2 linked regions of the Neurospora crassa OR74A genome follow. The protein of the gene in region 1 purifies or fractionates together with the protein of each later gene. This does not show direct contact. Links are inferred from orthologs where the notes say so. Each region holds a gene or a part of one and is shown on either strand. Other genes may lie near its edges. The genes, in order: NCU05714 and NCU04171.

Region 1 (3,815 bases):
TTTGAAAACATGAATCAAGACCGAAGAAAGAACCGTAAACATATTGAACGTCAAATGAAAGAGAAAGTAGTCTGGCATTCAAGTCGTATTGAAACTGACCCAGTTGCTTTCCTAAAAGGAAGGTGCTATCCATGGGTGGTGAGGGCTTGACTTGTACACGAAAACGATCAGGTCGCTGCCGCAAACATGACCACATCCATGGGATCTTTCCCGCTCGCAAAGAAACCCATTTATCAGCCCCAAGACAGAAAGCAAATATTGAGAGACCACATTTTTGAGGCCCTGAGAGGCTGTCCAATTGACATGAAGAGCAAAAAGCTCGGTCGCCCAGGTAAGTTTGTAGAACGAACGACAATACCCCAACTGCAGACCTACGAAAAAGCCACACATTTTCATCAACGGGAACCACTGTGCCAAAAGATCACAGAGTTCCGTTATGCCAGAGAGATCAGTTAGGGAACCCGACCTTATATAATACCTGTAGGCTACAGCAGAGGGTACTAGAGGTTTGCGGCCTGGGCGGGAAGGGATCTTGTCATCCGATGTTCCCGTCGGTGAAGGGCGTGCCGACCGATTGCCGGTGGCAGGAGCGGTGGCAGGTACCTGGCGCGTGGTTTGGGCTTGGGACTGACATTCCATGCTTGAAATTCAGACAGACTTGAGTGAAAAGCCATTTCGGAGCGGCGCTTCTCTGCTTGACTTGGAAAGTTCCATCACGATCGGTTATGTTTATCCCGCGAAATGACTGCACGCTGTCCCTTGCTCTGTTCTGCAGTAAACGTTATCCGACAGCAAAGAAGGCTTAACAATTACATTCTTTCTATCAGCCATACAAACACCTTCAGTAAATCAAAGTAACATTCAGGCAATTCCAGCGTGTATGTCACTCATGCCATTCTCAACACTCCCGAACCCCACCAGCTCGATTGGCTCATGGCTGACACAGAACCCCCTTCGACACGCCCTACTTCAGGACTTCTGTGTAATTCTAGCGTAGGTCGCAGTTGAGACCCATCTATAATAGGTTTCTAGTATGAGCTGCTCTTGGCTGCCTGTTTTGCGTTGCTCTCAAAGGCAATACTTTAAGCATCCCACAGTTGTACTTGCACAATATTTTCTCAACGCACCTCCAATGGCCTCGGGACACTCAATTTATGATCATTCCGACTGGGTGGAAAAATTCCCTAAACTCGCACCAGATGTTCTTCAGCCTGTTAAGCCGCGGTACAATCACTCTTAGGGACTTTCACCGCACTGAACCTTTGACATGTTCTTGCATATCCCGTGTAAGTGATATCGAACATGGATATTTTGGAGCATCACGGTCCCTTGGCGAAGGACGTCGGATGTGGACCAGCTGCTGACTCAGCCGCCCATTCGCAATTGACCGAGACCAACGAGGGCGCACGGTCCACCCCCGCGACGCAGGTGTCGGAATTTGGCTGGGCGCGGGTCCTGAACTTTTGTTTTCGGGGAAGTGCCGTTGCCGTGAGGAACGGAATCCGGAAGACTGCCCGACCCAGACCCAACCCACTCCCGTGTCCTCCGCCTCCGTCATGCCTCCCAGGTTACCGCTCGCCCAGGCGGCGCGATGCTGCCAGGCCTCCCTCACAGCCCGCCCTTCGGTCCCAGCCTCGTCGCCGACGTCGTCCCTCATTTCGCTCTTTGCTGCCCTCTCCGTCCAGACCAGGAGCGCATCCATCCTCGCCAGCCTGTCCGACAACCGGGGCGCCTACCACAAGCGCATTCGCAAGGGTCGCGGTCCTTCGTCCGGCTATGGCAAGACTGCCGGTCGCGGTACCAAGGGTCAGAAGGCCCACGGTCATGTTAAGCCATGGTTCCAGGGTGGTCAGACGCCCTTGATCGTCTCTCACGGCCGCAAGGGTTTCGTTAACCAGTATGCCGTCCCGACTTCCCTACCTCGCTTGCTATGCGCCATGGCCAAGAACTCTCCAGCATGCTATCCGATAACCTATACCTACCAGATACATGATGGAGACTAACCATTTGTGTCTTTCATAGGTTCGCTGCCGACATGTCCGAGCTTAACCTCGAAAAGCTTCAGGAATGGATCGAAGCCGGCCGTATCGACCCCACGAAGCCCATTACCCCCAAGGAGATCATCAAGTCCGGCATCATTGGCAGCAGCATCAAGGACGGCATCAAGCTTCTCGGCCGCGGCAAGGAGAGCTTCAAGATCCCCGTCACCATCACCGTATCGCGCGCGTCCGCCTCCGCCATTGAGGCCATCGAGGCTGCCGGCGGCAAGATCGTCACCCGATTCTACACCAAGGAATCGCTCAAGCGTCTGGTAGAGGGCAAGTCTCTTCATACCGACAAGCCGCTGCCGGTGGGCAAGGAGCACGTGGAGGAGATCCTGGCGCAGGCGCGATCGCTCAAGAAGAAGTACTACCGCCTGCCGGACCCGACCAGCCGTTGGGATATTGAGTACTACAGAGACCCGGCGCATAGGGGCTACCTCAGCCACCAGCTTGCGCCTGGCGAGTCGCCCAGTTTGTACTTCAAGGTACCGACGGGCGGCGAGAAGGTCAAGGTGGTCAGGGCCGACAAGGTCAAGGCCAGCAAGACCGGGGATGTGGCGTCGGAGAAGCTCTTCTAATGAACACGAACATTGCCTGGGATGGCGGTTTTTCCGAGACTCGTTGTTGCGCTCTTCCTCGTTGTTGTATGATAGGTACTGGGCCCGTTCATGGCTCTGTGCTTTGTGTTGTATTATTATCATCCGCGTATTGTCAGTCCAGCGTCTTGCTCCTCGGATCAGTTCTATTTGGGTCCTTGTACATCATACAGGTCTCACCTACGGGAGTGGATTCCCACATGCGGCCAGCACTCCACTTGCTGACAACGCAGGTGAATCATGAAACTCCCTTGATTGACGTGTTCCTGCTTTTGCGATCCATCGTAGTTCGAAGATGGGCTTTATAAAGTAAATATCACTTGGCTGCGTGTTGACATGGTCCAAACGACGGATCTCGAAGACTTGCTGTCCCGTACCTGGCAGTCGGAAGAACAGCCATTGGCCAGTGACATGTCAATCCCGCAAGCTGACCCCGGTCAAGTCCCGGTCCTGGGCGGTCCCCGGCCATTCCTTCCAGGGCAGCTTCCACGGGGACGGTGAATGGGGGCATTAGAAAATATGGGTCTGATCACGTGCCAGGTCGCTTTTGGTACCTTCTCCATACCAGCTTGTAATTACGTCCGAAAACAGCCGTCAATACCCGACTTCTCTGCAAATTACCAATTAGTGTTAGGGTTAGTTAGGGTTAGTTAGGGTTAGTTAGGGTTAGGGTTAGCTCCGGGGGTGCAGGGGGCCGGTGAGAGGCCCCCGCATGTGAATGTGAATCGTTAATATTGACATATGTCAACCATATGCCGACCATATGTCTTGTAATTACGGTAATTACACGGGTGACTTTCGATACCTTCGGCTTAAAGAAAGTGGAGTATGCACGGACCAGTCTAATGCCCCTAATCACCATGCCCAGCTTCCACAGCGGGAACCGTCCACTGAAGCCACTGTATGCAGCCCTCCCGAACGGGATTGTGTCAGCTTTGGAGTCGGCGCGTGCCCTCCACCCACTCTGCCCGCCGCGGCGTCATCATTGATGCATCTTGACTTTTCTTTCCTCGAGCGGGAGAGACCAAACTTTGTCGTTGTCAACATCACGACCTGCTTCAACTTTTTTCTTCATTTCTGTGTTTCATTTTCTTCTTTTTCTTCTTCTTCTTCTTCTGGCTGAGGTTGCCATAATCTCATCATTAACTTGTTCACTCTTTGGTTCTTCCATCTTCAG
Region 2 (4,151 bases), on another chromosome or scaffold:
CACCACCCCAGTCTTGTTTACAACTAGTACAACTACTACAACCGCCGCCGCCGTTGCTACTACAGCCCCTACTCAAGCCACCACGACCATCGCCACTGCTGCCACTACTTCCACCACGAACATCGCCTCAGCCTCGCCTACAATTCCTGCTGTTGTGAACTGGGACTACCAAGGATGTGCCAGTGACTCCAACACCGCCGCGCCTACTGCTCGCGCGCTCAATGGCACCTACCTATACGACAGCGCCGGCATGACCATTCAAAAATGTCTTAACTACTGCGCCCAGCAAAACTACCCCCTCGCCGGCCTCGAGTTCCAATCCCAATGCTACTGTGGTCTCGAGTTCAAGCCCGGCTACAGCCTCGGCCAGACTGGCTGTAATCTCACCTGCGCCGGTGACCCATCAACACGCTGCGGTGGCCGCGCTCGTCTGGACGTCTTCAGACAAACTAACTACGTGACGCCCCGGCTCGTCAACCCGTCCGTGGTTAACGGGCGCTTGGCGACGCCACAGGGTTGCTTCATCGACAACTCAACGGCTCGTATTCTCAAAGCTCACTCGTACACCAACAGCACGAGCATGACGGTCGAGATGTGCCACGAACGCTGTCAGTCGAGGGGCTACAGTCTCTTTGGCGTGGAGTTCGGCAAGGAGTGTTACTGCGGCAATTCGCTCGCGGACACGGCGGTGGCGGCGTCAGAGCTGTATGAGTGCAAGAGGTCGTTCTGCGTCGGTGATAAGACGGAGTTCTGCGGTGCTGGCTCAAGGTTGTTGCTTTACAGTATTCAGCCGGCTGGGACTACTTCTCCTGCTAGGAGGAGTATAGAAAGGAGAAACGAGGGGATGGTGAAGGTGAAGTTACCCAATTTGGGCAAAGATGGGGAGTCTGATTATGAGTTGAAATGGGATGGTGATGGGGGTGTGGGACAAGTGAGAAGAAGCGGCTCTGGGCGGAAGAATATTGAGAGGCGATGGGGACGTAGTCTTGGACGGTGATGATGATACTTGGATGTTTTTTCTGTTTTCTCTTTCTTCCCCGTTACATACTTTGTTGTTATTGCTAGACATGCTGATAAGGTGTGCGCGGAATGATGTAATTATTAGTGGCTCGGAGGATACTTCGAGCAAAGGAAGCGTACGCATATACAAGTGTCTCCTAATCTAATCATACATGTCGTCTTAATGTGTTGGAATCCTGATCTGAATCGCTTATATTGGTACAAACATAGTGATATATTTCCAAATCCATGCTTTATTTAGAGTTCATCAACCACATCAGATGCATTCTCAGGGGTCCAGGAACGCTTTCAGGGGTAACAGACTCATATCCCTAACCCCAAACTCATCCAGCTTTGGCCCGTGCTGCCAAGCATTGGCCCCGGTTCGAGACTCCGCAGAGGCTCCAAAAAAAATTCCGGCGGGCGGCACAACGGGGACCGGCACCTCTTCGAGCCTCGACGCGGGACCAGGACCTTGCGCTTGCCGGAGAAGGAACCTCGCTGCCCTCTGCCCGTCCGTGACAGACCTTCGGCCCCGATTTCCCGCGTGCGCCGGACCCTCTTCCTCAACCACCACTCCGAAGCGACAACCTCCACGGTCGCCAATTCCGAAACCAGAGCGTCCGCCCGAACGCCGGTTTCTTTTTTCGGTATCCTAATTCACCATGGCCAGTCTCCGCGGGGTCTCGCGATCGGCTCGCGCTCTTCAGCCTTTCTCTGCTCAGTTCGCCGTCCGAAGATGCGCCTCGACACAAACTGGTGCCGGCGCTGCTGCCGCTACTCCCAAATCCAACATTCCCGACCTCGCCGAGCTTGAGACACGGTCGGCATTGGACGCTCCCATCCCCAGCGAAGAGGACAAGAAGGAGTTCAGGCCATGGAAGCGCGCGGCCGACAGGAAGGCGAGGTTGCCTAGCAGCAGGTGCGTTATACACTCTCCCTCCGTCCCGTGGTTTACATAGCTAGCCACACACATGTATATATACATACATATACGCAAACCATAAACAAGATGTTTAAACGTTGCTAACCACCATGCCTCACCTCCTACCGAACAGATACCAATACCACCCCCCCAAGTACAACCGCGGCCCCCTCCACCCCATCCAATCCCCTCCCTCCTCCGACCCTATCGCCCGCGACTTCGTTCCCGGCCCCTTCAACATGCCTCGTCTCAAGGAAACCTTCCGCACCGTCATGGCCTCGGACCTCATGACCCTGGCCTACATCCACACACCCCCGGGAACGCCCAAAAAGGAACCCACGGAGCGCTTGCGTGCCTGGGAGGGCGACTCGCCCTACTTCGCCAACCGTGCCCGCCGCGCGCCCCGCGGTGCCCCCGAGCTTCCCATTCGCGAGCGCGACATTTCGTTCCGCAACATCCCCGAGATCAAGGAAATCACCGTCTCCACCTTCGTGCCGCTCGGTCTCAAGAACCCGGACTTGTTGATTGTGGCCCGGGCGGTGCTGCTGGCCATGACGGGGACGATGCCGGAGATGACGAGGTCCAAGAACAACGTGGTGCAGTGGCAGCTGCAGGCGAACAAACCGGCTGGTTGCAAGACGACGATTTACGGAAACGCGGCGTGGGAGTTTATGGATCGGTTGATCCATTTGGTTCTCCCCCGGATCAAGGATTGGAAGGGCGTGCCGGCGAGTACGGGTGATGGAAGCGGTAATGTGCAGTTTGGTTTGAATCCGGAGGATGTTCAGCTTTTTCCCGAGGTGGAATGCAACTATGATGTGAGTTTGTTTCTTGGGAAATGATGGGTGGAAGAGAAAGAGAGGACGGAGGAGAACAAAAGTTTGGAGTTGGAGCCGGAGCCGAAGCTACAGTAGGGAGGGTTCTGGTTCCGGCTCTGGCTCCGGCTTTGGCCCTACCGTCTGCTTCGTCTTCTTGTTTTCTTGGACTTGACGACAGATTACTGACTTTCTATCCTCTCCAGATGTACCCCGCCAAGATGATTCCCGGTTGCCACATCGCCATCAAGACGACAGCCACCTCCGACAGGCAGGCTAAGCTTCTGCTCCAGTCCCTCGGCGTTCCTTTCTACAGCAACTAAGCGCCAAACGGGCTGTTGATCGTGAGAGGTTGAGAAAGGGACGAGATTCAAGGAAGGGGGATGAGAAGATGATGAACAACATCTCGCATCATGATAGTTGTTGGATGACAATTGAGGAGGATGAGGAGATGTGTGAAACTTGTACAATACGAATACACTAACCACATAAGGACGATGTATGTTGGGTGTATATATACCTTTTGTAACAACATCACGAGGAGGAGGCTTATAGACGAAGTGGAAAGGAAACGGAAGAAGAACAATACCACCGGGTCTGACGGTCAAAGATCAAAGAAGTAGAATCACAAATGCGTAAAACAATTGGAAGGGTGTCATCATTGCGTGAACTGGATTGTGTAAACGGACATCGTCAAGGGTATCTGCTTCATAAACAACTCCCAAGTCTAGAACCACATATCCATATCCCAGTCTAGCTTTGCACAGAACAGGTCAAGATATTATGACAACAGAACCCATTCGTCTTGATCAACCAAGGATCTCCAAACAAAAAAAACCAAACGCCTTTTCCAATGCCAAAACCAAAACCATATCTTTTCAGTCCCATTTTCCTTTCATTTGGTCATCCCCATCATGAACCCCAAACCCTCAACCTACTCATCCCCTTAGACAGCTCTAAGCAGACTTGGCCTTGTTTCTCAAAACGTCAATAACCTCATCCACTTTATCCATATCCGCCGCATCCACCTTGGTCCCGTTGTTCACCAAAACCTCATGACCGCGCTTATGCATCTCGTCCGCCGCGACATCCATAGCCGGCTGATAATTCCTCACCGCACTGCTAAGCGCATACGTAGCCTTGCGCCTCACCTTCTCCGACTCGCCCTCCTTCATCGCCAGGTCCACCAACTTGGGCACGCCGCCCATGGCCAACAGCCGTTCCTGCGTCTTTTGGTTGTTTTGCACCGCCGTGCCCAGGCACCAGGCAGCGTGGTACCTCATATCCTCGTCCTCGTGATCCAGCAAGGAAATCAAGGGGGACCAGAGAGACAGTTCCTCAAGAAGGTTTGCGTTGTCCAGGTTCTCAATCAGCTGCTCGAAGTTGTCAAAGGCGATCAACTTGTTTTCGCG

Evidence for each region.
Region 2: the proteins of NCU05714 (region 1) and NCU04171 purify together in Saccharomyces cerevisiae (affinity purification with mass spectrometry, with the first as the bait; 3 studies listed by BioGRID). This does not show direct contact. The link is inferred for Neurospora crassa OR74A from reciprocal best matches to the Saccharomyces cerevisiae genes MRPL10 and MRPL7.

What each region holds. Positions count from the first base shown.
Region 1 is NC_026503.1:604,307-608,121, forward strand, and holds NCU05714 (mitochondrial 54S ribosomal protein YmL10/YmL18), read left to right. Parts: upstream 1-1,431; 5' UTR 1,432-1,556; coding exon 1,557-1,897; intron 1,898-2,022; coding exon 2,023-2,620; 3' UTR 2,621-3,259; downstream 3,260-3,815. UniProt on the Saccharomyces cerevisiae protein: Component of the mitochondrial ribosome (mitoribosome), a dedicated translation machinery responsible for the synthesis of mitochondrial genome-encoded proteins, including at least some of the essential transmembrane subunits of the mitochondrial respiratory chain.
Region 2 is NC_026505.1:5,079,235-5,083,385, forward strand, and holds NCU04171 (mitochondrial 54S ribosomal protein YmL7/YmL5), read left to right. Parts: upstream 1-1,389; 5' UTR 1,390-1,664; coding exon 1,665-1,921; intron 1,922-2,057; coding exon 2,058-2,742; intron 2,743-2,945; coding exon 2,946-3,062; 3' UTR 3,063-3,394; downstream 3,395-4,151. Other genes in the region: NCU04170 (hypothetical protein), read left to right, coding at 1-997; NCU04172 (hsp70-like protein), read right to left, coding at 3,696-4,151.